Linked DNA regions of Solanum lycopersicum. The protein of the gene in region 1 binds, or shares a complex with, the protein of each later gene. Links are inferred from orthologs where the notes say so. Each region holds a gene or a part of one and is shown on either strand. Other genes may lie near its edges.

Region 1 (5,831 bases):
TAGTTGATTTGGATTTTCCATCCAGTTAAGGGGTAAAACTGGTGAAAATAGTAACAGTAGGGGATAAAAATAACTCTACTTTAACGATAAGGGTATAATCAACCAATAACACAAAGTTGAGGGTATTTTGGCCCTTTTTCCTTAAATTAATATTTAATAACTGGAATAGTAGATTTTATGACTATCTCGTAGAGTTAGAAAAATTGCTTTTGAAAGATTATCAACTCAAGTGTAGTAATTTATTTTTTTTGAATAAAAGAAGATGAAAAAAATCATGAAGATTATTTAGCAACTAATAAGGGAATCAATGTAAAACCTACAAGAGAAGGAATAAGAAGTTAAGAATCGTATGATAATCGAAACGTAATAAACAACAAACAATGATAGATATCAAAAGCAAAAACTATATTATTACAAATAATACGACAACAAACATCAACATCCATTGTTTGTTAACCTTTTACCCCATTGAGTGTCCTCCACGCCCTCATGTTTAAGATAGTATTCTTGGTAATTAGAAGTTATTTTGTGTCGTGACTGATTAGCTCTCTGAATACTTCTTCTGCCTATTCTACTGCTTCTCGAATCTACTATAACTAACCTCTCATATCTCCTCAGTGCAGCATATGCACATCTCTTATTCATACGTTTAGATCATCTCAGAGTTACTTTCTTCCTATCACAAGAGGTTACTCTGTCCTTATCTTGGATATTCTTATTCATAATTTTATTGCTCTTGGTATATAGGTCCACTCTGAACATACAATTAAGGTATAATATATTTTCATTTTCATTTTTAGTAGATTACCAAATAAATTTTATGATATATTTATCTTACAATAACATATTTAACGTATTTTTACAGAATATTAAAAGGTAAATATGTATACAAATTCTACTCATATTAAATAAAATAAAGTTTTGTTTTTATACTCTCCACTCAATTATCAAACCTTACTAATCATAATAAAAAGGGAAACATTCAAAATAAAGGAATCAAGAAAAAATATTAAAGCAAACAAGAAAATTCATACTAAAAACACAAGCATCTATGACAAAGTAATATGATAATCCAAGTGCAATATATAACAAAAAAAAATAGAATTACAAGAAATTTCTCGATAATATTGTGACTCGTTTGGTTTGAATTCATATTTGATGGAATTAATTATGATGAAATAAGTTATGCTAAGAATATTTTTTATTGACTATTTGGTTTGTTGTATTCAAAATAATAAATCTTCTAAACAACATATATGTGTACGAGAACACCCTTCATGAATGTGAGAAGTAATATATAAAAAGTGTTTAAAGGGATATTTTTGTCAATTAGTCATTTTGTCCATGGATAAGTTATTTCAGAATTATTATACCATTCAAGAAAAGAAATAACTTATATCGGTACTAATTATTAATTGTAGGATCCTTTAATACTAGAAATTTTTTAAAATTAAATAAGGACATATTAGGAAAAAAAATTATTGTCCTTTCTTGATTTGTTAAAATAGACAAGTAAATAGGAATAGATATAAAAGAATATGTGGTCACATGAATAAGTAAATAGTGATAGAGGGAGTAGTTAACAAAGTAAAAATAGTTTATATTTAATGGGGCTAGAGGATAAATTTGGCGGCTATTTATGTAAAGATACCTGCACATCCAACCGATTCGTAATTCGGGTCACACAGCCCAATGTCGTCGCAATATAAAACCCTTTTAGCTTTGCACATATCCCGCAAAAAAAAAGAAAAAAAGAAAAAGAAAATTCACTGAAAAATACCGTTCCCTCCAATTCTCTACAAACCCTCGTAAAAATCCCCAAACTCCACAAAACCCAAACCCTCACGCACTCAAAACAGAAGAAGAAAAATCTTAAGGCAATTCTTGAAATTGTTTAATGGGGAAAGACGAAGATGAGATGCGGGGTGAAATTGAGGAGAGGCTGATAAACGAGGAGTACAAGATTTGGAAGAAGAATACTCCTTTTCTTTACGATCTGGTTATTACTCACGCGCTTGAATGGCCTTCGCTCACCGTCGAATGGTTACCGGACCGGGAAGAGCCGTCGGGAAAGGATTATTCCGTTCAGAAGATGATTTTGGGGACTCATACATCGGAAAATGAGCCTAACTATCTCATGCTTGCTCAGGTTCAGCTGCCTCTTGAGGATGCTGAGAATGATGCCCGCCACTATGATGATGATCGGTCTGAATTTGGCGGATTTGGTTGTGCCAATGGCAAGGTTTGAATCTATTCTGTTTTATGCCTTGTTTGGCTGTTTTATATGGGTTTTCATTTTCTGGATGTTTTATTTTACTACATTTTTCTGGCTAATTTCAGTGTTAACGTCTGAGATTTACTTGTTTTGTACTAGAGTTTAGTTGTTCTAGGGCAGCCTGTTTAAGAATCTCTTGAATTTTGATAGCTTTGGGATTATGTTATATAGTAAATGGTTTAAAGTTTATTAACAACACTATAACAAGTAACCAGTGTAGTCCCAGAGGGTAGTGTGTACACAGACTTACTCCTACCTTGTGGAGTTCGAGAGGTTGTTTACAATAGACCGTTGGCTCAAAGTTTTCTCCTTTGCAGCGTAGGTACTAGGGAGTTGTGAATTGGAAGTTGTCAGTTCATTCATGGATTTTGCTCAAGGTACAGTTAATATTTCATCAAAAATTCACCAAAGGGGAAAAAAGGGGGCCTAGCATAATTAGTGCACCATTTTCTGACCCACCACCACACCAAATAAGGGCACCTAATAGGTCAATCCCTTTGGGCAGAGTGAACTCTTTGACTGACATTTTCTTATTGAAATTTTATGCGTTGTTGTAGTTTTTATTATTCCTCTGCTTCTTTCTCTGTCCTGATATTGTTGAAAGGTTCTCTTCATAAAGGGCACTTGAGGCTTTTATATCATATATGAATAATGATGCTTGGACCCCAAATCAGTAGTGATTTGCTGGTAGCTTAGGTGAAATGGGTTGTAACAAAGCCAATGCTTCCTGATTCGGCTAGCGTTCTAAAACTAATGGTTTAGTTGCTCCACTCATTTGAATGTGAAGATGATTGGAAGCAACATTGCTGCAGGAGAAAACTGATGAAGTTTTGAATAGTCAGCTAGAACTTTAAAAAGCTTATGAGAATACCACTTATGACTATCACCTTTTAGTGTAGATTGATGTCACAGATATCAAAGGTACTATCCACATAGAGTCAGTGATAAATTGATAATGAATTCTTCTATTTATGATGAGGGCATGGAACTGTAAAATCTTATTCTCTAAAAAGGTTTTAAAAATGGTCTGTCAGTTCCAATTATCACTTGAAGGCCTTACTCTGATATCTTTTTGCTGTACTATTATTTCCCATAATATCAGAGTGAATTTCTTGTCTCTGTTTCAACATTGAGTGGCTTATGTATAATGATAAATATTTCTCTTTCAGGTACAAATAATCCAGCAAATAAATCACGATGGAGAGGTTAATCGGGCTCGATATATGCCCCAAAACCCATTTATCATTGCAACTAAGACAGTTAGTGCTGAAGTATATGTTTTTGACTACAGTAAACATCCATCTAAGCCTCCTCTAGATGGTGCATGCAATCCAGATTTGAGGTTAAGAGGCCACAGTACAGAGGGGTATGGTTTGTCTTGGAGTCAATTTAAGCAGGGTCATCTATTGAGTGGTTCAGATGACTCACATATATGTTTATGGGACATTAATGCCACTCCCAAAAATAAGGCTCTAGAGGCTATGCAGATATTTAAGGTTTGCCTCGTGTTTTTTTTTCTGACGAGTCTGCAGAGGATAGATATTGCCATGTTACACTGCATAGATTATCAATTTGTTGCACCCACTTACTACTTGTAGTTTTATCTTGTGCAAATAACCATAATTGATAATTGGAGAAGAACTTGTATGCTTTCCCTTCCAGCAAACACCCCCAGGCACCTCGAAGTAAAAAAAGATCAAGCGAAGCAGAATAGCATGAGTTCTCTTTATTAATATCATGTTACAAAGTTAAACTGTAACTTCAATAGTGTCCCAACTTTTGTCTCAAAGGATATTTTTGGTATCATCTTCTCTACTATTTGCTGTCTGAAGCTTCAGTCTACCTAGCATGGACAAGAATCTTGTCTCTCGTATTATTTTCTCATTAAGCTTTTGTCAGCTGTTGTTGGTTTATTCTAATATTTAAAATGTGTAGGTTCATGAAGGTGTTGTTGAGGATGTAGCTTGGCATCTGAGGCATGAGTATTTATTTGGCTCTGTTGGGGATGATCAGTATTTGCACGTATGGGATCTGCGAACTCCATCAGTGACCAAGCCTATACAATCTGTAGTTGCACATCAAAGTGAGGTGCGGCTTAGACTTCTTAGCTGGACTTTTCCACGTTTATGTAGTTAATAATGCTTCCCTTTTGACTGGTGTAAGAACCACTCAGATATGTCTTCTTAACATTGTTGGCAGTCTTTTGATTTTCTTGCACAGAAATGTGAGGATCTTGTGCTTACAAAATAATTATAGTTTTTCTTGAAACTAGAATTAGTGTTTCCCAATTTTTACCTGTACTTTTTTTTCTTTTCATTTTCGTGGGTTTACATTATTGGATGTGCAAACAAGTGATTGCTGTGTGTGTAAACTATAATGTGATGCTCATGTCTGGATGAATTTCTGTTTCGTTTTAAATGGTTTAAGGAGAAGATCCTGCCTTCCATACTCTCTGCTGATTATTAAATGTACAATATCATAGAAGGATGATCATTACTGCACATGGCCTATTATGAAAAACATTTCTGAATGCAGTTATCTAGATTTTTTGTGAACAAGCAGTCTTGTGTTGATGATTGTACATGATTGACCTCCTTTCTCTTTTGATCAGGTTAACTGCTTAGCTTTCAACCCCTTTAATGAATGGGTTGTAGCAACGGGGTCTACAGACAAGACAGTTAAATTATTTGATCTACGCAAGATTTCTACTGCACTTCATACTTTGGATTGTCACAAGTAAGATGTCTTCCTTACATATACTTTTGAGGAAAATGTTGGCTCCGTCATCATTCGTGTTAAATAGTATAATAGAAGCTTGTTCATCTGTATTTACAGTTGCTTATCATTAATTTCCTTGCAACTTTTCTGCAGGGAGGAAGTTTTCCAGGTTGGGTGGAATCCAAAGAATGAAACCATTTTAGCTTCTTGTTGCCTTGGTAGGAGACTCATGGTTTGGGATCTCAGCAGGTTACTCTTCCAACTATCCTTACTAGTATTTTCATAATATCAGAGTGAATGTTCTGTCGGTCCAGTGGGTGCTTTTATTCTATCTTGCTCTTTGATGTTTTGAATTTTAATTATTCCATCTATAAGTTAACACCTGCCTTATCTTGCCAGCTATAGTTCACCTAGAGTTGTGATCTATCATCTCTATTCCTTCCCTCTTCTCCCACATGGCGTCAATCCCTGTACTCCTTAGAAAACTATCCCATTTCATTGTTTGCTACTGCCCATTTATTTGGAAAAACACCTTTTAGTCCTAGATTAGTATTTTGGCACTTCCTTTATAGGTTGCAACTTTGTCATCTCACTCAACATGTGATTTGGAACTCTGAAATAGGCTCATTCTGTTGTGTGCTCGAGTCAATATTGTACTGAATTGTCCTAGCATGTGAAAATGACTACGTCATATGCTCTACTGAGTTTTGGCATGTGTAGAATTGAAGTTCCATGTTGATTTGTGCACATGATAATCCAGATGTACAATTATATTATCATGTGGTCCGAATCTGAGTTTCTGATCCAAGTCTCAGTATCTGGGATTGCACTTATTCAC
Region 2 (5,904 bases), on another chromosome or scaffold:
CTTAAATACAGTACAAGTGAAACAAAGATGCTACAAATTTGTCAAAAAGAATTAGCAACAAGAATGGCTTGCCTACAACGTGCTTTAGCTTGTTCAAGTCTTTTATTCAATGTTTCTTCTTTAACAGCAGCACTCACCATAGCTAAATCCATTTCCATAAGCTTCAAAACTCTGTACAATTCCGTCACCATTCTCTCCTCCACTTTTCCTTCGTCTTTCAACACTTCCGCTTCTTCCCTAGCTCTTTCTGCAACTATTTCTCCAACTTTCGCTAACAACGCCGTCGACCCAAAATCCCTAGCCATTAACTCTTCCAATTTCTCCAAAAAATCCATTATCACATACCCAATTGGCTTATCTAATGGAATTGGCTTTGTTCTCTTCCACCCAATTTCGAAATTTGGTGGGTCTTGCTTTATAAGCTCAGTTCTTGATTTTCTCTCACGGATTATCTCGGATTTTCGACGTTTTTCAATTGGGAATTTTTCTGGGCTAATTGTTGTTTCTGAATTTGGGGTTAGAAATTCTGGGTCTGAAGAAGATTCAGGTGAAGTGCATTTGATAGTGAATTGCTTTACGCAAGAAATTGGATGAATTGAAGGAAGAAGATGGAGATGGTGAAGTTGAAGAATATTTGAAGAAGAAGCCATTGTTTTAAATTCTCCAACAAAGTTGATAAGGTCTTATATAGTGTAGTATTTACTTTTGTCAATATACACTATTTGATAAAAGTGAATATCTAGATTGAGCTAAATATCTACCTGAAATACATTGCGTTTCGAAATATTTGTCATGTTTAATTTTTGATATTGAGAAAAAGTACGACTTGTATTATTTCTTGTGTAATCTTGACATATGGTAAACAACAATAACAACATATGTAGTGATATTTCACAAGTAGAATCTGAGAGGATAAAATATATGCAAATTTTTTCACCATCTCGCGAAGGTAAAGAAATTATTTTTGAATACTCACATCTCAAGAGCAATCAATTCAAGTATAAAGAAGAAGAAAACATAATAACTAACGAAGAAGAAACTGCAAAGTCAATAAGAAAGAAATGTCGCTAGTACAATAACAAACATCTACGAGCCTACACCCTCAAAAAGTAAAAGTAACTCTCCATACCTCCTAACCAACTATACTTCTTCGCCTATTTTCATTTAAAATTAATATTGATTAAATTACTCTCGAAAAATAAAATATGACAGTATTTTAATATAGATAGAATACAACACTTGTTTTGTTCATTTCATGTGACACTATTTTCATCGTTGAAGAATATCACTTTACTCTAATTAAAGATAATTTTACTTTAGAATCATATTTATTTTCCTGATGTACTTGATATACTTTTGTTTAGAATCTTGTTTGGTCATATGACACAAAATCATCATAAGATAAAGTTCAAATTTTATTTGGATATGTCGTTTGAACATTTTATCATGAATATAAAAAAATCATAAATTATAAAATTATTCTATATTTTTTTTACAATCTTATCAAATAAATAAAAATTTAATAAATCACATATACCGTATCATAATATTATTCTTAAAACATACCGTATTAATTGATCGAACCTTAATACTGTTCAAGGTGTTAGTAAAAGAAATTGTTTTTTTCAATTAATTAATGTCACAAACTCACAATGATATGTCTTGTGCACTTAATACAATGATGGTAAAATATTTTTATTAAGGTTTTTAAAAATAAAATATATATTCAGGTCGATTTTTCTATTTAAAACGTTTAAATTATAATTTAAAATTCTGAAAATCATATTAATTTGAAAATTTAGATCATATCTAAAACGCTAATTTCATCTCACGTATAAAATTAATCTTAAAAAAAAATGTCACTTGCGTCTTTTTTTTTTTAACAAATATTTTAGGGACACTGTAAATATGTAGAGTTTTTCGTTCCTCTCTAAGCTCTGGCGGAGTGATAGCAATGGCGGCCAGAGTACCTCTAGGATGTGAGCCAGTTGTTGGATCATTAACACCGTCAAGGAAAAAGGAGTATAGAGTGACGAACAGACTCCAAGAAGGCAAACGCCCATTATATGGCGTCGTCTTCAATTTCATTGATTCGCGCTACTTCAATGTCTTTGCTACTGTGGGCGGAAATCGTGTGAGTTTTTTCATTTGGGGTTTGTCAAAATTGTATTTTGTTTGTTGTGCTGATTCGAATTTGTGGAATATAATACTTTTCTTTTAGTAATTTGAGCTCTGGAATGAAACGGGTAAACGGGTACGTGTATGAACGACCTAATTGTTTGAGGTTGGTGGGTTGCTCTTATTGTTGTTATTGTGGTTGTTGGCTTCATGTATTACTATGAAAGTTCGAAATTTTCGTTCTTTTAGGATTTGTCTTGAGTTCTAGAATGAAACGGGATGACGGGTATGGGTGTAACTGTCCCAATTGTTTGAGACTGATGGGTTGCTCTTTTTTTTTGTGTGTGTGATTATTGGCTTCATTTATTGGTATGGAAGTTCAATTTTTTCATTCATTTGTCTTGAGTTCTGAAATGAAACGGGTTAATGTTGAAGAGTTGGTCTTCTTGTTGTTGTTATTTTTGGGTTCATGTATTAGTATGGAAGTTCAAAATTTGTACAATTTAGGTAAGAAGTATCAATCTTTTGTTTTTCTTTCCATCTTGGTCTGTCTTATTTTTTTAAATGCCTCGGGGTTAATATTAGTTGAGCTGCTGCTTGTTTCAGATGAAATTGTGCTAAAATTGGACTTGCAAGTTGCTTTAATGTTGATTGATGGTTCAAGGACCCTTTTTGTTTCCTACAATTGCTCTTATGCTTATCTTGGTAGATTCATTGATGCGTCACAAACTGAAATGTCTTTATGTAGTTATGACTTAGGATGGATGAGCCAGCTTTGTACAAACTTATGTTGTATGGTGTAATGATCGACAGTTTTTGTATGTTTCTCCACACATGCAGAGTGCCACATATTCAACAGATTTGATAATAATTACCTAATGGTTCACCTTACTATTATAAATTGTTCATGGCAAAGGTTATGATTCTCAGAATTGGGTATGGATTGTAATCTTGTATAATCTCTTAGCAGTGTGGAGTTATGCTATTATATATCTTGTTGTATTTCTAATCTAAGTTGAGAGTTATGGATGATGTAAAAGTAAATTTAGGATTTGGAGAAGTGCATGCTCTTGTTAAGTGATGTGTCTTTTATTGGTCTAGATATGTCATCTGAGAGTTGTTTCAGAATACCGAACTGAAAGAAGATAACAACAACAGAAGAATAGTACTAGCCTCAGGAAGTCAGGATATGCTTTTACTGTATGCCAATTGTCGATATCCTGACTAGTCTTTATTTTCTGGCTGTTCGTCAGGTGACTGTATATCAGTGTCTCGAAGGTGGTGTCATTGCTGTGCTGCAGTCTTATATTGATGAAGATGTAAGAAGTTGCAAGCACACAGTTGTTCCATCTGTTCTGTACATATGTTATTTCATATACTTAAAAAACTTTTGTTTTTTCCATGTGCTGTGTAAATCAGAAAGATGAATCCTTTTACACTGTAAGTTGGGCCTGCAATATTGATGGAAGTCCATTCTTAGTGGCTGGTGGAATAAATGGAGTTATTCGTGTTATTGATGCTGGGAAAGAGAAGCTACACAAGGTCTTGACATGAAATCTCTGATTCACATTTTACATGCTCAAACAAAAGTAGTTGCTCTTTTAGTTATAAAAAATGAATATCTGCATATGAGTTTTTAACAGCCCTCTAATTGATCTTTATCTTAAAACTAAAGTATTTCCTTTTTCCATGATTCAATCCATCTTATTCATCATGATATTTACAAGTTAAATATTCCTTCATGATTCGTTCCATGTTAAGTTGTATTAACAATACAAACTTGAAAGAGAAAGGTTCTCTTAAAAGTTAAAGCTAGTTACATGTTAACTTAATATCATATGTCTATTAATCTATTTTAATCTACTTTCTTATGATTGAACAGAGCTTTGTGGGGCACGGAGACTCAGTAAATGAAATTAGGACTCAACCCTTGAAACCATCTCTTGTATTATCTGCCAGCAAAGTATGTACCTTATGGATTCCTCTATTTCCTTCCCCCGCAAGGAAAAATATATTTGATCCTCTTTATTGGAAGAAAAATATTTGCACAGTTGCAAGATGTATGTGGAGTATCAATCAATTTTGCAAATATTTTACATGGCATAGTGTAATTATCACGAGTGTTACAGGATGAATCTGTTCGCTTGTGGAATGTTCATACTGGAATATGCATTTTGGTATTTGCTGGCGCTGGAGGTCATCGGAATGAAGTACTTAGTGTGGTAAGTTTCTCTGTCAATTGCAGTTCCACTCCAAGGATGGAGTTGGTCGCAAAGTAATGTCTTTCACATCTTTTACTAATACTGAGAACCAATATTTAAGCATATCAGCTGGTTTGTGATGTTTGTAGGACTTCCATCCTACTGATATATATCGGATTGCTAGCTGTGGAATGGATAACACTGTTAAGATCTGGTCAATGAAAGGTAAAACCTGTAACCCTTTTCAGTTTCACATGTATTATTGAAATACGACATATGATATAATACTAAGTATCATCACAGTCTAAAACTTTGAAAAGAGAAAAACTGAGGGTGATCTTTAGAGTAGCAACTTGTTATTGGCTGTATTCACAAGGCTTTTCCAGAATCTTTAGGGATGATGATGGTGCTATGCCTGTACTTTTCTGGATTTGGTGATTTTGCCACCGATATATCTTGAATCTCACACGACTACCTGGACGTGTTGAAATAATGACTTGCACACAATCTTCATTGTGGAATACATTAATTTATTAGCACATATTTCTACAAGGATATCTTTGTCTTTGGTTACAAGTATAAAAATGATGCCAACGTTTTCAAAGATCCAACCGCAGTTATCAATGTACCAATTACCTGGAAGGAATATTAGGCAGCATGCAGTTATCCTAGAATTTATGTATTCTGGTGTTCACAATGCTTTTTATCTACACTACTTTACTTCCCTAGTTATAGTCACACCTATCAGCAATTACCTTACTGTTGTCCCTGGAAACGATGTAGCGTTGGCTATGAGTCAGATTAAGTAGTCATCTGCTCCATTGGTGCTCTGTTGTTACACAAGTTTGAAAAAAAATAAAATGAAGTAACATCAATTTGAGTAATGTTACCAGTATATATAAAGAAGTAACATCAATATGAGCTGATATTTCTTTTCTGATGAACTACTTGTGCTACAGAATTCTGGACATATGTGGAGAAATCGTTTACTTGGACGGATCTTCCTTCCAAGTTTCCCACAAAATATGTACAGTTTCCAGTGAGTAACTCTTGTTAATTCTCTCCTTCCCTGCCTTCTTTCTTCTGAAAGTTTGGTTGGAGGATTTTTTCTTGCTGTAACCTTCTTTTTGTCCTTTCAGTTGTTAATAGCTTCTGTCCATAACAACTACGTTGACTGTAACAGATGGCTTGGTGATTTTATCTTGTCCAAGGTGAATATATTGACCTGCTTTCTACCTGAATTCTTTTTTTTTACCGTTCTTCTATATGAGCTTATTAGAAAAGAACTGTTCTATTGTATGAATTATTGGTTGGCTTTATCTTTCTTACCGGGAGATATTTACTCTTCTGATTTCGTCGAGGGGAAATCAGAGCAAATCTGGGAACCTCTGGAAAAGCAAAGAATAGCTTTCTTTCTTAACCATGAGCTGTCAACCTCAAGTTGAAAATTACTTGTTAATGGATTGAGGATATCTTCTCGTCTTTTACATGGTCTTCTCATATTTTACTTGTACTGATCCTTAAATTTTGTTGGAAATACTCAAGAGTGTTGACAATGAAATTCTATTATGGGAACCAAAGATGA
Region 3 (5,908 bases), about 14 Mb from region 1:
TGAGAAAGTTTCTGACCAGCACTACGATCGTGCAAGGAAATTTCTGAGTCAATGCCAACTACTTGCATCAAACACAGGTAACCCTGTGCAAAGAGCAGTCTTTTATTTTGCACAAGCACTTGGAGAGAGGATCGATAGAGAAACAGGAAAATTAATGCCAAAAATCTGCACGGAGACAGATGAACTTAACAGTATCTGTGTTGCATCAAGATTCCATGCCTCATTCGTAGCATTACATCAAGAAGTTCCATTCACCCAAATAGTGCATTTCACAGGAATTCAAGCCATACTAGAAAGTGTAGCAATGAAACCCAAAGTTCACCTAATTGATTTCCTTATCAGAACAGGGGTACAATGGGCATCCTTGATCCAAGCAGCAGCAGAGAGAAAAGACAACCCAATCGAACATATGAAGATCACAGTTATCGAATCAGTCAATAAAGAAAGAGTAATAGAAACAGGCAAGTCTTTAGAGAGTTTCGCTAATTCCTTGAACTTCCCCTTCTCATTCAAGATCATCTTTTTACCAGATAGAAACCAACTGACCGAAGACCACTTCGACATAAAACCTGACGAAGCAGTAGTAATCCATGCAGCATTCTTTCTACGAGCAATGATCAGCATACCCAACTGTTTAGAAACTGCAATGAGAGTTGTAAGAAGGCTACAACCATCACTAATGGTAGTATCAGAAGTAGAGGCAAATCTGAATTCACCTCTATTCGTGAACCGATTCATAGACACTTTATTCTACTACAGTGCATTATTTGATTGCCTGGAAGATGTAATGAAGCGGGATGATCAACACAGGATGACACTGGAAGTGTCATACGGAGCAGGGATTCGGAACGTAGTAGGAAATGAAGGGGAGGAAAGGGTCATTAGAAGTGTGAATCTTGATGTGTGGAGATCATTCTTGAAGAGGTTTGGAATGGAGGAAGTAAAGCTAAGTGACACATGTTTGTATCAAGCTAACTTGATTATTCAACAGTTTGCTTGTAAGAATTCTTGCAGTGTGGATGTTAACAGAGGGTCTTTCATGATCAGCTGGAAAGGAACTCCAATCTATTCCACTTCTGCTTGGAAATTCCATTGAGTTATGCACAAACTAAGATGAATTGCTTTCTCTTTGGAATTTTGTTGAACAGCATGTGTGCATTTATTTTTCATACACTTAAGTGTAATTCATTCGTTTAAAAAATATACTATGGGTGATAATTTAAGTACAAAATTAAAACTCATAGGATTAAAATATGTTTTAATTCATCGGTAGCCTTTTAAAGTTGGTATAATTTTTTTACTTACATATTTTAATTAAGTGTTTATATTACGTGTCATCATTAATGTTATCAGTTTCAAAAATAAAATATTATGTGTCATTAATTTATTGATCATTTTTTTTATTTATCATTAATTATTTATAATTAATTTGACATAAATGACAGATGTCGTGGTTTAATTGGTTATTTTATACATTATCCGCGAGTGTAATACACACGCATTGTATGTTTTTGTTTATATTTAAAAGGTTGTCAAAATGACATAGCGGGATTCTATATAAGTTATCTAAAGTGAACATCGTCCAATTAAAGTGTCTTAGACCTCATTTGTTTTTATTAAGATTGCGATCTTTGAATCTGAATACACGTCTAAATAATTTCATTAAATCTCGGTACTAAGGGAATAATTTCCTTAAGGGGACACTGTGCATTAAGTAGACTCAATTTTTTTCTTTCTTTTTCATTCTATTGTTTTAGATGTTGATATATTTTTTTTATCGTCATTAATTTATGTGTATTATACTAATTGTTTTTTTTAGTTCCTGTTTTTAAATTTTGTTGTTTATATTTCTGTACAATTATTGTTATAAATGTTTGTTAATACGTATAAATATTATTTATTTATTAGAAAATTTAATGTCTCATGTTGATGTTTATCTAATTTTCCAAAAATATCAAATAACAATACTACTTCGAGGAGGCAAAAGGATAAATTATAAAATCAAATTCAAGAAGATCGATTGAAGGATAAATGATAAGATGTTATAATTACTTTTTTCATTTACATTATTAATGTTCGTTACTTTGTAGTCTTATATGTAAGATAATATAGTATTTATTTTTAATGATTGATAAATCTGAATATTATTTTATTAATTATATGATATTAAATTTTCGCGAAAAACATCGATAAATTTCCGAATTTAAATATATATTTTGATTCAACCCTAACAGACACAGTTAATTTAAAACAAAAACAAAAAATAGATCAAACTCTAATATCATATTCGGATTTTATGTCACATCATCAGTCCATCTCCACGTAAGTCTCCTATCACTCCGCTACGCTACTCTCCTCTCTTCTTCATCAAAACTATTCCTTCACTTCCCTATTGTTGTGAAAGATTATCTACACAGGACTTGATGATCTCCTCCACCTCCATCTCTGCTGAATCTGCGCCCACACCCACTGTCAGTACCTTTCTTGATTCTATGTTTGAATTGTTTTTTAAGTTAATCACATCATCAAATTTGACTACTTTCTGCACACCCTTTTGCCCCGATCATCTTGTTGATCCATATATTCTTGTGGGGTTGTGGGGTATTTGAAATTCTTGGAAAACTATGAAAATTTGTTGAAGAAAAAACATGTTTTTTTTTGTGTTCTTGGTAATTTTCCTTGCTTTCCCGCTCCTGAAAATGGGTATTAAACAAAGGACATTGATGAGTAAACAGGGGGAAAGTGTAAGGAAATAGTAAGAACTAGAAAAGTAGTATGCTTTACATATTTCCTGGATTGTGTTTTTTTAACTAGGTCTATTTGCTTTAATTGTCAATCTAGCTAATGATCTATTCAACTTACCTTGTTGAATGAAATTATGGGTTATGAGTTCTTTTCCCCCGTACCTTTTTGTTGTTTTAATGTCATCTGATAATATAGTCTTTACTAGGTAATTTAATGAGGTCTGAGCTTTTTCTTTTTTCCCCAATTCAATTTCAGATGAGTATTTGTTTGTGTTTCTTTTTGAATAAATTAAGCATGGATGAAAACTTTAACTTTGTAAATTGACAGAAGTTCGATGGAGAAAATGAAGAGGATTCTTCAGCATCTCTAAAGTACAGAATCAATCAGCTGAAAAGGCAAATTCAAACGGACAGAGTTCTTTCAGTTAGGGTACTAGTTCTTTTGCATTTCTCTATTTTATATTCAACACTTAAAACTGTATTTCTGCTGATATCATAGCAATCACACAGATAGGCTTGTGCATTTCTCGGACACTCTTATCTCTTTCTATGTTGAATGGTGTTCGGCCAACCCATACCGTAGTTAATGCAGAACATTCATTGGAAACTTTGATCTTAAATGAATATTCTTTTCTTACAGATATTTTGTTTCTTTAATACTTGTTCTGTGAGCAAACCAATTAGTGAGTAACTTCTATTTTCTAAGTTACTAATCAGAAGACTTGTGAGTGGAAGTTAAAAAAAAATTAAAGTGTACAATTAAACGTGGGGGCTGCCAATTTCTGACATATAGACACACAGATATATCATAAACATCAACAGAAAAACTGTAGTTGAAATAAAGAATACGAAGAAGGTTATATGACCCAATAAAAGAATTCATCTAACTTTCTTGGTTCTCATTGAGTGACTGTGGTGTGCTATGTCATATGAATTTGCTAGAATACTTTTTTACAATGTTACTTGTAATTGATGGGCACAACATGAATAGTGGTTTTGTAACCACTTCCCCTCCAAAAAAAACCATAATTAAAAGAAAGGCAAAAGGATTATCTGACAAGGTTATTTTTGTGTAGGACAAACTTGAAGAGAACAAAAGGAAGCTAGAAATTCATGTTTCTGAACTTCTTATGTTGGCTACATCAAGGAGTGATACTATGAAGAATTCTGGGACTGGTAAAATGCTTTCTTTAAGAATATCAAGTCCCCTCTGCAAAGTTGTTGGACTTGTTCAAGGTTCAGGAGACAGGGACTATGCTAATGGAGAGGAAGTCGTATCTTCAGTAACTGCTAGACTTCCCTTCATTCAGAACATTCCACCATATACTACTTGGATCTTTTTAGACAAGTACGTGATAATCATAGTTATCTCTAGTACAATACTGTGAAGAAGTCCATAGAAGAGGACACTTGGAAAGAAATTCTAAAAAATAACATTTGTGCTAGCTACATTGGTTAGCCTTTTGTATATCGTTAACCTGAATATTTCGCCAGTATAAGGCTTAATTAGAAGCACCAAAATTTGCATCTTTTTCTTTATTTTCTGTATTTGTTTTGGACAAAACACTTTCATGACAAGCTTGAGATAGAAATTTTTTGGACAAAACACTTTCATGACAAGCTTGAGATAGAAATTTGGCCTTTGTCGTGGATTTATTTTCCGTTTAATATCTATTTTGGTGATAAGTTACCATCAACAGCTAAGTCTCGCTCCAAAGTCTTAAGGCAGTTCCACAATTTAATAGCTTGGAGAAGATTGGGAGAAAACTAGTTTTCAGTAGTATTCATACATTATCATGCATTAAAGTTAATCTTGTTCATCTTGACTTCTCCAGTTACTCTTCTTTAGCTTTTATATTATGTACTTCTGAGTTTTCGATTAGGCCAATAATTGATGCTATCATGATTATACTTTCATTCTTATTAGAAATGAGGATTTTATTTGCTCTTTGCTCTCAATTCTTCTTCACAAAACACAGAAATCAAAGAATGGCTGAAGATCAATCAGTGGTTGGGAGAAGGCGGATATACTATGACCAGCATGGTAGTGAGGCACTAATCTGTAGTGATAGTGAGGAAGACATAGCAGAACCAGAGGAAGAGAAACGTCATTTTTCTGAGGGAGAGGACAAAATTCTTAGGTGAGTTCAGATAAATAGCATGTATTACAACTTTATAGAATGTTATTGTTCATTTATTAAACAGATTTTTGCTTCTGTTTCAAAGAGAAAAATTGAGCATAGACTGTTTCGAAGAGTTGGATTTGATGTAATTTATTTCTCTATGTCGCAACTAATGCTTAGTGCTTACATAGGGAAGGTTTGTATATGTCATGCCCCAAGTCCATGTGACCGGCAAAGACACACTACTGACTACCCTACCAAGCAAACCAAACCCATATGATGCATCCTGACCATATGCATGAAAGCCATTTGACCTTCCTTTTTTTTTTTTTTTTTTTGCATTTACAAATTAATCATGAAATATTTTCAACTTCAAAAGAACATACCCTAAAGCATTTCACAAGAATAATGAAATCAAAATAAAAGAGACGTCTTTCCATGTATGTCATGTAAACTCCCATTGTTACAGCCCAACACAACTTTCTATGGAGCCTCTATACAATGGAATAGAATTAAACTCTTGGGACAATTCCTGTCCGAAGAAAAGAATAAGGGACACACTAGCTACCACGGAATAAAAGTTGTGCCTCAACATACACATTAGGAAGAGAGACACCCTAGCCATGTCTGCTCCTCATGTGTCACGCCTCATATTAAAATATGAAAAATAAAGGGGGCCTAAGGAGGGCTGAGAGTACATTGTCACAGACTTTATAAGTATCATTGACTCTCTCTCAGTCAAAGCTTGGACAAGACTTCATTAGAAAATGAATGCAAGTATAACTTGATATAGAACATAATACATTGATATCAAATTGAAATTTGAACATTTGAACTTAAAAGTCAAGTGTAAAATCCAACACCGACACTAGATCCAAGGTCAACTAGGTGATCAACCTAGTGGCAAGTATCACATACCCTACTTGCTCAAGTCGTCTCATTGTAGTGTCGTACGAATCGACTCAATAATACTATCATAGCACACTATACCCTTCCATGGGGATACTTTAACCTATCCCTTTACCATTAGGTAGAGTCTAT
Region 4 (6,101 bases), on another chromosome or scaffold:
CGTCTAGTAGAGTCTTGTTCATACATGTTAAACGCATCATAGTCATGAATAAGAGGCTATTGGATATTAGGAAAACTTCACTTCTTCATTCACTAAGTCGTGACATAGAGCCTAGCTCTATTAGGTCTTTTCTCCTAATGTGTGCCCTATAATTTTTTAGGATATTACTACTTCAAGGGCTAATGTTGAAAGGAATGCGGAATACAATGTGGAGCAAGAGGTCCCCTCCAAGCTCCAATTTACCATATATATGAGAATATGACTAATGTAGAGATTAGGTCGGCTCTTCTAATGTTGGCTAAAGTTATAACGGCTCAAGTGAGCAGGGAGGTGGTAGCTCCGGTGGATCCGATAATGAGTATGGTTACTTTGAGAGTGAGAGATTTTGTGAGGATAAATCATCTGGAGTTTTATGGCTCCAAAGAAGGAGAGGGTCCTCAAGATTTCATAGATGAGGTCTCTAAGATGTTCGACTTAGTATGTGTGTGTGTGGGGGGGGGGGGGGGGTACTCTTGGGTCGTGACATTTTTTCACACTCATTAATCTTAAATTTATTTGCCAACATGATTTGATCAAACTTCGAATATCACTGTTTGGGTGTTTGTTTTAGTCCATAAAGTGACTTAAGGAACCACAAAACTCCTTAGGTTGCTTCATGTAAATTTCTTCGTCCAACTCTCCATTTAAAAAATTGCTTTCACATTCATTTGATGGATTTCAAGATCATATACCGCAACTAATGCAAGTAGCATCAAAATGAATGTAATTCTAGTTACTAGCGAGTATGTGTCAAAATAATCAAGGCTTTTTTTGTCTAAAACCCTTGACGACAAGTCTTGTATATTAGTTTTCAATAGTTCCATAAGCTTTCATTTTTTTATTGAAGATCCATTTTGAACCAAAAAGTTTGTTTCCCGGAAGAAGATCAACCAACTCCTATGTATTGCTCAAGATTAAATAAATCTCATTATAGACAACCCATTACCAAAAGAATGAGTCTACAAAGAAAAAACTTCTTTGAATGTTTGAGCCTCATATTCAAGAAGAAATGTTACCAAATCATATGCAAAGAAAGTAATGTTCTTTGATGTTTACTATGTCTTGAAATCTATTTATTAAGTCCAGTCACCTTTGATTCTTCTTGAGGTCGTTAAAACCCTTTATAAACAACTTAAGTCTAATTCTACCAATGAACTCAACATTATCTGATTCAATTACCGTTTACCATGAATATTTGAATGTTCGAACTTATGAACCAAAAATCGACACACTTTATTGTTTGTAAAATATTCAATGATTCACTTCAGCCAAATAGTGGCACCTTAAAATTTGTTGAATCTTGAACTCACAGTAAATGACACTTGATTTTTTGCAAAAAAAAAAGTTATAACTTCAAAAATTTAGTACTTGATGTGTATTAGTTAGTATGTTAATATCTAAGTAAATATTAAATATTTATAGCTATCAAAAACTGCTTCAAGAAAAATTCAATGGTTCAAAAAATGCAATACCAATTCGTATCGGTGCTGCATCGGCGACCATTGACGTAAAATTGTATATCACCCTTCAAGCACCATTTCAAACCAGGACAACAATGAGATGTTTCTTTTCAACCAGCGTTGGATCGGTGAAACATTGATGTATAATTATACAACAATACGATACAAACTAATGTGTTGAAGAGATACATATCTTCTAGCGATATCGCCGATGCAAAAAAATGTGTCTCGCATGTAAGAAAGGATATAGGGGCAAAACTTTTACTCAAAAGTGATCTTTCAATAGATCATTTTTTAAAACTAAAATCAAACCCAAATTCAAATCTGATGCCGAATTGAACTAGCAATTCAAAATGTAACTATATTAGATCTTATTCATAACAAGTAATACATAATATTTGATTGAAAATAAACACATATATATATTATTACATAATACAAGAAAAGTATTGTTAATATGAAGAAAAACAAAGCAAGTAGAAGGGTACAATTAAATCCTTTCCAATTAATATAGTAGTATAAATGTAAAATTTGGAAATGAATATTATATTTATTTAGGTATGAAAAGCACATGCATGTGGAGGTGATAAAAGTTAAAGTGAATACCTCCAACAGAAAATATGATAGAACCTTATCTTGAGAGTAGAATAAAAAGCGTGAGAGAGACGAGCAAATTGTAAAACAGGCAAATAGAGCAGGTCACGCTCCTAAATTACGCGTGAGGATCATCTCTAATTGGCGTGCAGAAATTTGGTATAACACCAACTAACATTAACAGGTCCCAACTTTTCTTTAACACAGAGAGAGAATTTTTCATTACTCTCCAAACAAACCCCTCTCTCTCTTTCTCCTTCGATAACCCTAAATTTTTCTCTCCTTTTTTTTTTATTAATCACATCAGGTACTTTCTTCAGAGTTTCTCATGTTTTTGTTAAATATATTTGTTTTCTTATTGGTTGTTTGCTGAATGTGTTTGGTTCCAGATCTGTTACTCAAGTTTGTGATTGTTGATTGTTTTTGTGAAATTTTGTTTCTCTTTGCTGGGTAGTATATATATTTTGGGTATTGTTCGTGATGAGGTGTTTTGACTGTTACGAGTTGGTTGCTGGTTATCTCTGGTTTGTTTCCTTGCTGAATATGGGCAATGTGAAGAACTAGGACACTAGTAATTTCCAAATGCTCATTGCGTCTGTGAATGATTTTAGTATTTCTTGTTGGGATAGCTGATTTTAGCATTAGCACCATTTTAGTGTTGCAGATTCTAGTTTCAACACTGATGCATGTGCTGATTTATAGAAGTCTCAGACATTTTTGTTGTTATTGAGAGAAAGGTCTCTTTGGGGGGTTAGAATAGCTTAAGTTTTTTTATTTCTTCTTTTTTATTAACAAAAGAGGTAGGCGGGAGCAAAGTTAGTTAGGTAAGAGAAAGTGCAGTTAGTTTTACCATGACCAGAATAATATCATTAGATGTGAGAGGTAAAGAACTTCACAAAAGGATGGTGATTAAGGGAGGTTTTGAAAGGATGATTTTTCTACTGTGCTTTCTAAAAGATAATAAAGGATCAAGTAACAGATGCAAAAGTTTGAAGAGTGTGGAGTAACAAATAGGTAGGGTGGACCAATCTTGAATCCAAAAGGGTAGCATGGGAAATCTTTGTGGTTTGGGACATTGGGGTTTAAATAGGTAAGTATACATACTCTAAGAAAGGAAAGAGAATCAAAATACATAATTACAGGAGTAAATCAAGCTATACTATATTTACAAGATCATATTTTATCATATTTATGAGAATCTTACAATTCTTTTTAATGTGATCTAATCTTTCCTCTGTTTTAGTTTGTGTCTTAGTTTGACTAGGAGTAGACACGGAGTTTAATGATGTAATTTGTCAATTTTGTGGTTTTAAACTAGGATGCATATAACATTTTAAAAATATCCTCTGAATCTTGTGATCATAAGTATATCATGTCATTTCCATAAGGGAGTGTCATTAAGGTTGAAGTAGGAATATTGAAATTAAAAGCTCACTAACATAGAGATGTGTCATTCTTTTTTAAACAAACTAAGTAGGATACTTAAAAGAAAAGTAATGCAAAAATGGAGGGAGTAAGGTTTTGTGTTTGGTGTGGTTGTGTGTAAATGACTATGTAGTTTCACGTGTGTTTGTGTTTCTGACTTTCTGTTGAAATTTTGGTAACTTAAATGTTCTCTAAAATTTTTTAGTGTGGAATTTGAATTGCCTGTTCCTAAGATGCTGGATACAAGGGTAATCAATATTTTAGGAAAATGTTTGTCTCTCATTTTAGAGACCTAAACTGCAGAGATGTATCACTTATGAAACTTAACATCTTATTGTCACAGGGAGGGGTTGCTGCCACATCCTTATTTGGCTATCATTGATGGATTTATAAAGGTGAGAATGTCCACTTAATCTCATGTCCTGGGAGTTATCTACCTACCACCTAAGCATGAGAAACTGCATTAGGATAAAGTTGTATTTTTGTTTTGGTATCTGTAGATTCCTTGTTTAAATCCTTTCCAGACCTCCATGGTATTTTGAGTATAAAAGAATAGTCATAATGATTCTTGTATTTACTCTTCAATTCTTGGTTCCCTTTTTTTTGTTTCAGGATATGTATATATACCATTTCTTGGCCCTAGGCTCGCAATCTTAGCCATGGGAAGATGGGAAACTAGGTCTTCTGGCCTACATCCAATTTAACTTCCTATTCTGATTTCTTTTTTTTTTCACACATTTCATGGTGGTTAGCTTTATAGGTTTCAACGTGAATGTTTTAGTCTTATGGTTTCAATATGTTTAAAATTTTTGGTATTGGTGTAGTTCGGAATATATAGATGATCCTGTAGCAATTGTAGACATCTTAGAATCCTTGTAAGATGATATAGGACCTAGAGATAGGTTTCTTTTTTTGGGTTGTTGAGCCTACTTAGTTGTATGTAGCTTTGTGATCTAAATTTTTGGGATCCCAGCCTTAATGCGGATGATTATATACAAACTTGTTACTTTTGTAAAAAAAAAAAATCTCTATAAGACTAAATTGAGGATGAAGCTCGTAAAATCCATGTATGTTATAGTAGTTGTTTTCTATAATATTTGAGGTTACCCTCCTTAAAAAAAGTGAACCATGGTGCATAAAATTAAGAAATGATGCTCAATAAATTAAGGGATTTATTAGAGCATACAAAGATAAGTATAGTTAATTGAGACTAACTTTCCTACTTATGTTATTATTTTTTTATGAAGTACATTTTGTAGATGGCATGAAGAATATGCAGAAATACAAAAAGAGTTAACAAAGAAAAGTCTGCTTAATATAAAAGAGATTAGACCAGAACTAGGGAACAAGAAAAGCCCAAAAAGTGATTTATGCATATTGATGATATCATCTATGAAATGTACTTCATAAAAAAACCATAAGTAGGGAAGTCATTGTCAATTAAGTATACTTATCTTTATATGCTCTAACAAATCGAAAACTAGGTGTCCGTCATGAGAAACATGTAGGGGATATAATTTAATTTTTTTTCTGTTCACATCAATATCCTAATGGAACATTGTAATCCCACTTATGTGAAAGTATGCATTTGTTTTTTTGTTTTGTCCACAACACATATGATGTGATGCCATCATAAATCCAATGCTTAATTTCAAGAAGTCAAATTCCTTCAATTTTCCATCAACTTGTTATTTATTAATTTTAACAACTATATTAAGAAAATGTTATAGGGGACATATATAGATCTTATTGGTTCATGAATATGAAATTAGGTCCTGCGTGGACTAGAAGATTGATAAAATTATATCAAGTGTGTTAAAGTTATCCCGCATTGGTTGTGAGATTTAAGATTAGCCTATTTATATAGTTCAAGTAATCTTCACTTTGTGAACTAGCTTTTGGGTTTGAGTTGCATTTAAGATCCATTTCTTATCTTGGTATCAAAAGTTAGACTCATCTCAATTCTTGGTTTACCTAATGTTGGCCCCCCATAATATGTTGTCCACTCTCCGGTTGATAGGTCTGGGGGTGCGACAAGGGGGTCAAAGTGTTAATTTGTCCCACATTGGCTGTGGAATGACCATATCCCTTTTGCTTTCATAGATTACAATATGCACTTTCTTCTAGGGGGCATATCATATGATATTATTATTTCTACATCTAAAGTAGGGAGTTGGTATGATTAAATGGAATGTGCAACACATCATATAAGAAGGTTGTTATAAGCAAAGAAGCGCTACTATAGATTGCAAAAGGCTCTAGGAGGTCTTTGAAAACAAAGGAAAGACTTTCAAGTTGTGGCGTTATAGGGATTTCTCAACAAGCCTTGTTTTGTCTCATAAATCTTATCAATATTGGAGATTTATCTCTACTATTTCTATCAAGGGCCAAGACACTAGTAATTATTCTACCTGAAAATACATTTAGTGAGATATGGATACAATTGGTGACAAAAATAGAAGGCTTCGTTAATAGTGACCTCGTAGAGAGCTACTAAAACTCAGGGAATACAAACATCACCTCATAGGGAAGGGGGAGCAATGAAGAAGCATTACATGAAAACAAATGGACATACATGAAGCT
Region 5 (6,033 bases), on another chromosome or scaffold:
ATTTCCACCACCAATATATGTTATTATAATACTTTTTATTCCCATAGCCTTTTAGTTAAAATACTAATTTGATCTATTAATTTTGTCAAATATTTATTTTGAAAAATATGGAATTAGTTGGTCAATTTTCTATTGTTGAGAATATGAAGTATCCACAACATAAATCTGTTATACATGTGGATAAATTGTTACATGATGGATAATAATATTATATTAATTGTTATAACCAATTTTAAAATAATGATCTAGAATATTTCAAATGTCGGTAAACCAATAAATAATTTTGTAGACTTCTTTTAAGTTAAAGGGAAAAGGATTTGATATATCCCTTAACTTTGTCATTTGGAGCTAATATACCCCTCGTTATAAAAGAGACTCATATATGCCGTTACCGTTATACAAACGGCTCACATATACCCCTGCCGTTACAAAATGGCTCACATATGCCCTTCATTTAACGGAAGTTAAAAAATTAGTTTTAAATTTATATTTATTACTTCTATTTTTTTTTAAAAATTATTTAGGTGTATATATGATTCTTCTATCAAAGTTCAAGGTATATTTTAACTTTTTTCATACATAAATAATTTTTTGTCTTCTTTTATTATAATTATTTGAATTTCTTATTCTTATTTTGTTTTTTTCTTTTCATTCCTTAGTTTAAAGAAAGAAAAATTAAACTATTTTCTTGTGTGTATTGTAATTTAGTTTCGTATTCGAAGAAAAAATTTGGTCATCTACAATAAGTTTTACAAGAATATTAGTGAAACATAAATAAATTTGATTATCAAACATAATTATAAATTAGTCATTGAAACGAAAAAAAAGTCAAAAAGAATATGTTTGATGAGGATTAAATTTACTAATATGGGATTATATTTTTTAGAAAAAAATAATAAAAATTTAAATTTAAATTATTATTTTTTTCATTTCCGTTAGAGGAAAAGGGTATATGTGAGCCATTTGTTTACAAGTAGGGGTATATATGAGTCACTTTCATAACAAAGGGTATATCAGTTCTAAATGACAAAGTTTAGGGGTATATCAGACCCTTTTCCCTAAGTTAAATAATAGTTCTTCGACATTTTTAAAAAGTAAATTTTATGAGTCTTGATTTCTGTTTGTTAGCAAAAGGATTTCTTGATAATGTCAATTGCAAGATAAAATTTGCCACTCCATAAATCAGTTTGATGTTTGATGTTTTTGTGGCGATTATTGTTAAAAAAAATTCACTCAAACGGGGCACATATTTAACGTTAGAATACACTATTAAATAGTTTAGGGGTAAAAAAAATTTCATAAAATTTGGGATCGTAACAACAATTTCGTTAAAGTTAAAATATTTTTCAAATCCTTTTTCCTCAATATTTTTATTGTCGACTCATTTTACTAATTTATAATTTATAAATCTGCAAAATTAATAACCAGATTAATAAAATATTTATATCAAATTTTATTTTCAATTCAATTTCAATTGAACATATAAGAAAAAATGCTCATAAAATCACTATATATGTGTATGATGTTCATAAAATAAAAATAGTAGCAAGAAGAAAATTGCAATTACTTTTTTTCAATGGGTTCAACACTTTGGGCAAGCCTATCAGTGTGTATATATACAAGACACTGTAAAGGAAAAATTATATGAATTAATATATTTTTAAAAATAATTACTAATTTTAGCAATATTTTTTTTTAATTATTCATATTAATACTGTGATAAATCTGTAATATGTATTAAAAGTGAATTATGTGTGCAATATATTTGAATTATAATTGTTTTTGAAATATCTTATGTTTGTTTGGTTAAAAATTATCATATTGTATTAAAATGTGTGATAAATGCATTATCCATCATTAAAACTTGTATTATATGTGAATAATAAATTATTTTTTTTGTAATATGTATTTAACTTGTATTATAAATGAATTAAAAGTGATCAAGTGAAAAAAATATTATTTTTATAAATGGTAAATATTTTTTTACTATAGTATATTTATGTAAATTTCTCGACTGTAAATTGATGATTTATTGGGTTATCAATTTAGTCACTAACCAATATCATAATTCATGGGAAAATTCAAATATAATAGCAAGCTATTAATTCAAATTAAATGTTATTAATCTAATACTTTATTCTCAATAAATCATTAATGATTTTTCGATAACTTACATAAACATCACTAGTTTAAACGTTAATTATGTATATTCACACTAATTTACAATATCATAAATCTCATCGGATTTAATTTTAAACTTCAAATACATGTATCTTGCACGTAACACGTGTATCTCAAATACTCGAGACCAAAACTAGACATAATTCATTCAAAATACATCCAAGTGAACTCACACATGCATGTATATGACCTTTTCACTCGCCTCTCTTCGCGTATCTGATATTCCAGTGTAATTCACATGTATATGAGATACATACTATCTCACTCGCCTCCCTCTACCTACTTTTAATTGATAAAACAATAAACAATACGTAAATATTTTAAACTATAGACAAAAAATTAAGAAATAAATACAATAAAAATATATATCTAATTTAATATATAGTAAGTAGTAATATTTATATTTAATTAATTTGCTAATAAGGGACCGTTTGGATTATGAAACCTTTCATTTTTTCACGGCGCGAAAACCAAAAAAATCCCCGCAAATAATTCGCACCAAAAGGCGGGAAAACAAACATAAATCTAAAAATTTGTATAAAAAAATTTAAAATTCTACAAAAACAAACACGCGGCACATCTCTTCACTATCACCCCACTACCCCCACCTCAACCCCCACCCACTATTTCATTTCTAGGGTTTTTTTTTTTTGTTCTTCATTGAATCTTCATATACAAGTTTGGGTATTTTTCAGTTGAATCGGAGCAATGTCGGAGGCGATGATGATTGACGGTGTTGAGGAAGTGAAGATGGAAGTTGTTTCGGATGGATCGGTGAAGAAGACGATGAAGAGGAAGAGGGTTAGTTTGGTGATGGATAGTCCGGAGGAGAAAGCGGCGAAGATTGATGGGTTGGAAGTGGAAATGAAGGGGTTGGTTGAGTATTATAAGGAGGTATTGGAGAAGAAAGTTGTGGAAGTTGAGGATTTGAAAGGGTTGGGGTTGAACTCGGTGATTGCTTGTATGATGGAGGAGAGTAGTCTGTCGTTGTCGAAATTGGTGGATGTGATTTTTGACAAGATTAGTGGTAGTGAGTGTAGTTGTAGTAAGGTTAGTGTGAAAAGTGCTGTGATTTTGGTTGGGCAAAGGATGCTTTACGGAATCCCAGATGCAGATGTTGACGTTTTGGAGGATGAATCTGAGTCGGCGCTTTGGTGTTGGGAGGTAAAAGTTTCAATTTTTGTTATCTGGGTTTGTTTATTCATAAGCAACTCTTGAATCGCTAGATTTTTGGGTGTTGTTTTTACATGAATATTGAATTGGGAATTGGATGTTCTAACGATATTATTGTTAGAGAAACTTTGTTTTACTAGTTTATCGATTCTTTTGGCATGTGTGTGTTTCATTAATTTGGTGTATTAATGTTGATTGTTGTTTCTAATGTTTAGATTGCATCTACTATGTTGTTTGATGTGTCAAATGGCTGTCTTGCTTCAGTAGCATATCTGCTTAGCTTTAATGAATATTCATTGATTAGATTTGATGCTCGTAAGGAAATTTTTAGTTATCATGCATATATATGCTAGTTACTCAAATTGCGAATTTAGTGAATGGAGTTGATTCTAGAAAGTGAAATTTCTAATAATCATTCATTGATATGACCCTGTTATTTTCAAATTTTGGATACTCCTTTCGTTGAGTACATATTATCTGTCTTAGACTTATTTGTAGGATTACTCTTAATATGTTAACAATCAGGAGTGATGGAGTAATTTGCACCTCTAAGAACTGTTTGGATTTAAGTTGAAATGATGCATTTTCTCCAACACACAGGTTTGAGAACTAGAATAAAACCCATCATATTATTCTCACCAACAGGCGGAAACTGAAATAAATCTCAAAACTTCCAGAAATTTTAAATTTTACAAAACAAACACGTGTCAGCTCTCTTCTCTATCTCCCCACTGCCACAACTATTTCATTTTATCCTTCTTTTGAGGGTTTTTGATTGTATCTTCCCTTAGAGGTTTCCTAAACCGGTTCCAGAATCTGTGAGAACTTGCATTTTCAGTGGGATCGGAGCAATGTAGGAGCCGATGGTGATTGCCAGTGTGAATGTATTGATAATGGAAGCTGAATCCTCTATGCTTATCACTATTAGAGACATTTTGCTTTCCTAGTTTGTTGATTTTCTAGAATCTCTTGTGTTTGGCATGTGGGTGTTTCATTATGGTAACTCCTAGTGTTAATAGCTGGTGCAAATGATTGTTGTAGATTTTTCATTGTGTATTAGTGTTCATTATTGCTTCTAATCTTTAGACTGGATCCACTATGTTGTGTGATCTATCAAAAGAGTGTCTTGTTTCAACCAATGGCAGTTCAGCTTATTGCTCAGACTCTTTAAAGATGTTAGTGTGTGTGTGTCGGATTCTCCAAAAGTATTGTATTTTTGGAGAATCAAGCATTTGTTAATTAGCTATTCATTGATTAGATTTAATGCATAGTTATGCTAGTTACTCAATATTGTACATGCTTCAACCCTTCAATCAGGCGATTGAACTTTTGCATGCAAATTTGGTGAATGGATTTGATTCTAGAAAGTGGAAACCCATAGACAACTCTTTCCCGCTATTTATTCTTTCAATGTATTCATGATACAGTTTTCTGTCATCTGTTTTAATCTACTTTTTAGTATAAATAATGCTAATGCTAATGCAATTCCTTTATTATTTTATAGACACGAGACCTTAAATTGTTGCCCAAATCAGTCCGGGCTATCCTGAAGATCCGCAGGACTTGTCGTAAAAAAATCCATGAGAGAATTACATCTGTCTTTGGTGAGTGAATACTAATAACTGTACATGTTAATCTGTTTGTGGTGAAGAAGGCTTTCTATTAACCTTGCAATATTTTGTGTACTTCATATATGGGTCTCATGCTAATGGTGTCCATATTATATATGGCGTAATTTGTGGTACTGTTGCTTCTAAACATTGGCCTTTTGGTTTGCTTGCATTTTGGATACACTTGGTTAGGCTTTCAGTGAGGCTGATCATTTCCAGTTGCGTTGATGAAAACATGAACTGAATTTGGATGATTTAGAAACGTGATCGTATATTTGATTTTCTATTGGTTTACTCCACTATTCTTATCCATCTGATAGCATGTGAATTAGAGTACATAGCATTATTGATTTAATTCATTCAGTGCAATTACTTGTGATCTTTTTGGTCTAATTATTTCTGTTGATTCTATTTCCTAGATGGAAACATATGTTGGATGGGCTTTTTGTATGTAATTCATTAACAAGTGAATGATCTATTTGGTTGTCTTCCAACAAGCTTAGAAATTTGATAAGCTGAAATATTTGTGTTTGGTCATTGTGGCAGCTTTATTGACTGCGCTAAAAAAGGTGGAAACTGATCAAAACTGCATCCAAGAACAGATGAAGGCTTCTGAAAAGCTTGGCAAAGTATTAAATGAGGCAGATATCCGCTTATTAGTTGCAAGCATGGAACAGAAAAATGGTGCTGAAGTGTATGTGATATCTATTTCTTCCCTAGTATTGTTTCCTGTATCTGTCTCCTCTTTCCCATTGTTTACTCAAATCTCTTTATTGATAAAGGGCTGAAAAGTCAGTCAAACTGGAGGAGAAACTTTTGATTAAGCAGTTGGAGAGAAACAAACGAGAAGCTGAAAAAGAGAAGAAAAGGATGGAGCGTGAAATTCAGAAAGAAAAATTGAAAAGTGTGAGTCATTTGATTCAACCTGTTGGTTAAATGCTTGTTGCTGTTGGCATATCTTTAGAAGTGTGCCATTGGTGGTGTCATACTGGCCATGCCTTTAAATATGATCTTGATTAATCTTTTTGATGGCTAAATCTCCCTGTGCAGGAAAAAGAGTTAAAACGGC

What was found.
Region 2: MSI1 (region 1) and FIE share a complex: the UniProt entries of both Arabidopsis thaliana proteins name them as parts of the plant homeodomain / polycomb repressive complex. The link is inferred for Solanum lycopersicum from reciprocal best matches to the Arabidopsis thaliana genes MSI1 and FIE.
Region 3: MSI1 (region 1) and EZ1 share a complex: the UniProt entries of both Arabidopsis thaliana proteins name them as parts of the plant homeodomain / polycomb repressive complex. The link is inferred for Solanum lycopersicum from reciprocal best matches to the Arabidopsis thaliana genes MSI1 and SWN.
Region 4: MSI1 (region 1) and VIN3-like protein 1 share a complex: the UniProt entries of both Arabidopsis thaliana proteins name them as parts of the plant homeodomain / polycomb repressive complex. The link is inferred for Solanum lycopersicum from reciprocal best matches to the Arabidopsis thaliana genes MSI1 and VRN5.
Region 5: MSI1 (region 1) and chromatin assembly factor 1 subunit FAS1 share a complex: the UniProt entries of both Arabidopsis thaliana proteins name them as parts of the chromatin assembly factor 1 (CAF-1) complex. The link is inferred for Solanum lycopersicum from reciprocal best matches to the Arabidopsis thaliana genes MSI1 and FAS1.

What each region holds. Positions count from the first base shown.
Region 1 is NC_090800.1:88,996,557-89,002,387, reverse strand, and holds the start of MSI1 (WD-40 repeat-containing protein MSI1), read left to right. Parts: upstream 1-1,755; 5' UTR 1,756-1,897; coding exon 1,898-2,242; intron 2,243-3,444; coding exon 3,445-3,771; intron 3,772-4,210; coding exon 4,211-4,363; intron 4,364-4,886; coding exon 4,887-5,011; intron 5,012-5,146; coding exon 5,147-5,242; intron 5,243-5,831. UniProt on the Arabidopsis thaliana protein: Core histone-binding subunit that may target chromatin assembly factors, chromatin remodeling factors and histone deacetylases to their histone substrates in a manner that is regulated by nucleosomal DNA.
Region 2 is NC_090806.1:68,821,723-68,827,626, reverse strand, and holds the start of FIE (fertilization-independent endosperm protein), read left to right. Parts: upstream 1-1,865; 5' UTR 1,866-1,954; coding exon 1,955-2,134; intron 2,135-3,371; coding exon 3,372-3,437; intron 3,438-3,537; coding exon 3,538-3,660; intron 3,661-4,000; coding exon 4,001-4,081; intron 4,082-4,247; coding exon 4,248-4,340; intron 4,341-4,468; coding exon 4,469-4,544; intron 4,545-5,278; coding exon 5,279-5,358; intron 5,359-5,458; coding exon 5,459-5,530; intron 5,531-5,864; coding exon 5,865-5,904. Other genes in the region: protein CHLORORESPIRATORY REDUCTION 41, chloroplastic, read right to left, coding at 42-650. UniProt on the Arabidopsis thaliana protein: Polycomb group (PcG) protein. PcG proteins act by forming multiprotein complexes, which are required to maintain the transcriptionally repressive state of homeotic genes throughout development.
Region 3 is NC_090800.1:74,596,213-74,602,120, forward strand, and holds the start of EZ1 (histone-lysine N-methyltransferase EZ1), read left to right. Parts: upstream 1-2,322; 5' UTR 2,323-2,423; coding exon 2,424-2,471; intron 2,472-3,072; coding exon 3,073-3,174; intron 3,175-3,820; coding exon 3,821-4,092; intron 4,093-4,723; coding exon 4,724-4,885; intron 4,886-5,908. Other genes in the region: DELLA protein RGL2-like, read left to right, coding at 1-1,096. UniProt on the Arabidopsis thaliana protein: Polycomb group (PcG) protein. Catalytic subunit of some PcG multiprotein complex, which methylates 'Lys-27' of histone H3, leading to transcriptional repression of the affected target genes, mainly abscisic acid (ABA) responsive elements.
Region 4 is NC_090804.1:22,641,447-22,647,547, forward strand, and holds the start of VIN3-like protein 1, read left to right. Parts: upstream 1-2,119; 5' UTR 2,120-2,400; intron 2,401-3,861; 5' UTR 3,862-3,913; intron 3,914-4,130; exon of another isoform or gene 4,131-4,197; intron 4,198-6,101. UniProt on the Arabidopsis thaliana protein: Involved in both the vernalization and photoperiod pathways by regulating expression of the related floral repressors FLOWERING LOCUS C (FLC) and FLOWERING LOCUS M (FLM).
Region 5 is NC_090810.1:3,428,681-3,434,713, forward strand, and holds the start of chromatin assembly factor 1 subunit FAS1, read left to right. Parts: upstream 1-2,736; 5' UTR 2,737-2,889; coding exon 2,890-3,345; intron 3,346-4,858; coding exon 4,859-4,958; intron 4,959-5,510; coding exon 5,511-5,658; intron 5,659-5,746; coding exon 5,747-5,870; intron 5,871-6,014; coding exon 6,015-6,033. UniProt on the Arabidopsis thaliana protein: Component of the chromatin assembly factor complex (CAF-1) involved in chromatin assembly following DNA replication and DNA repair. Assembles histone octamers onto replicating DNA in vitro.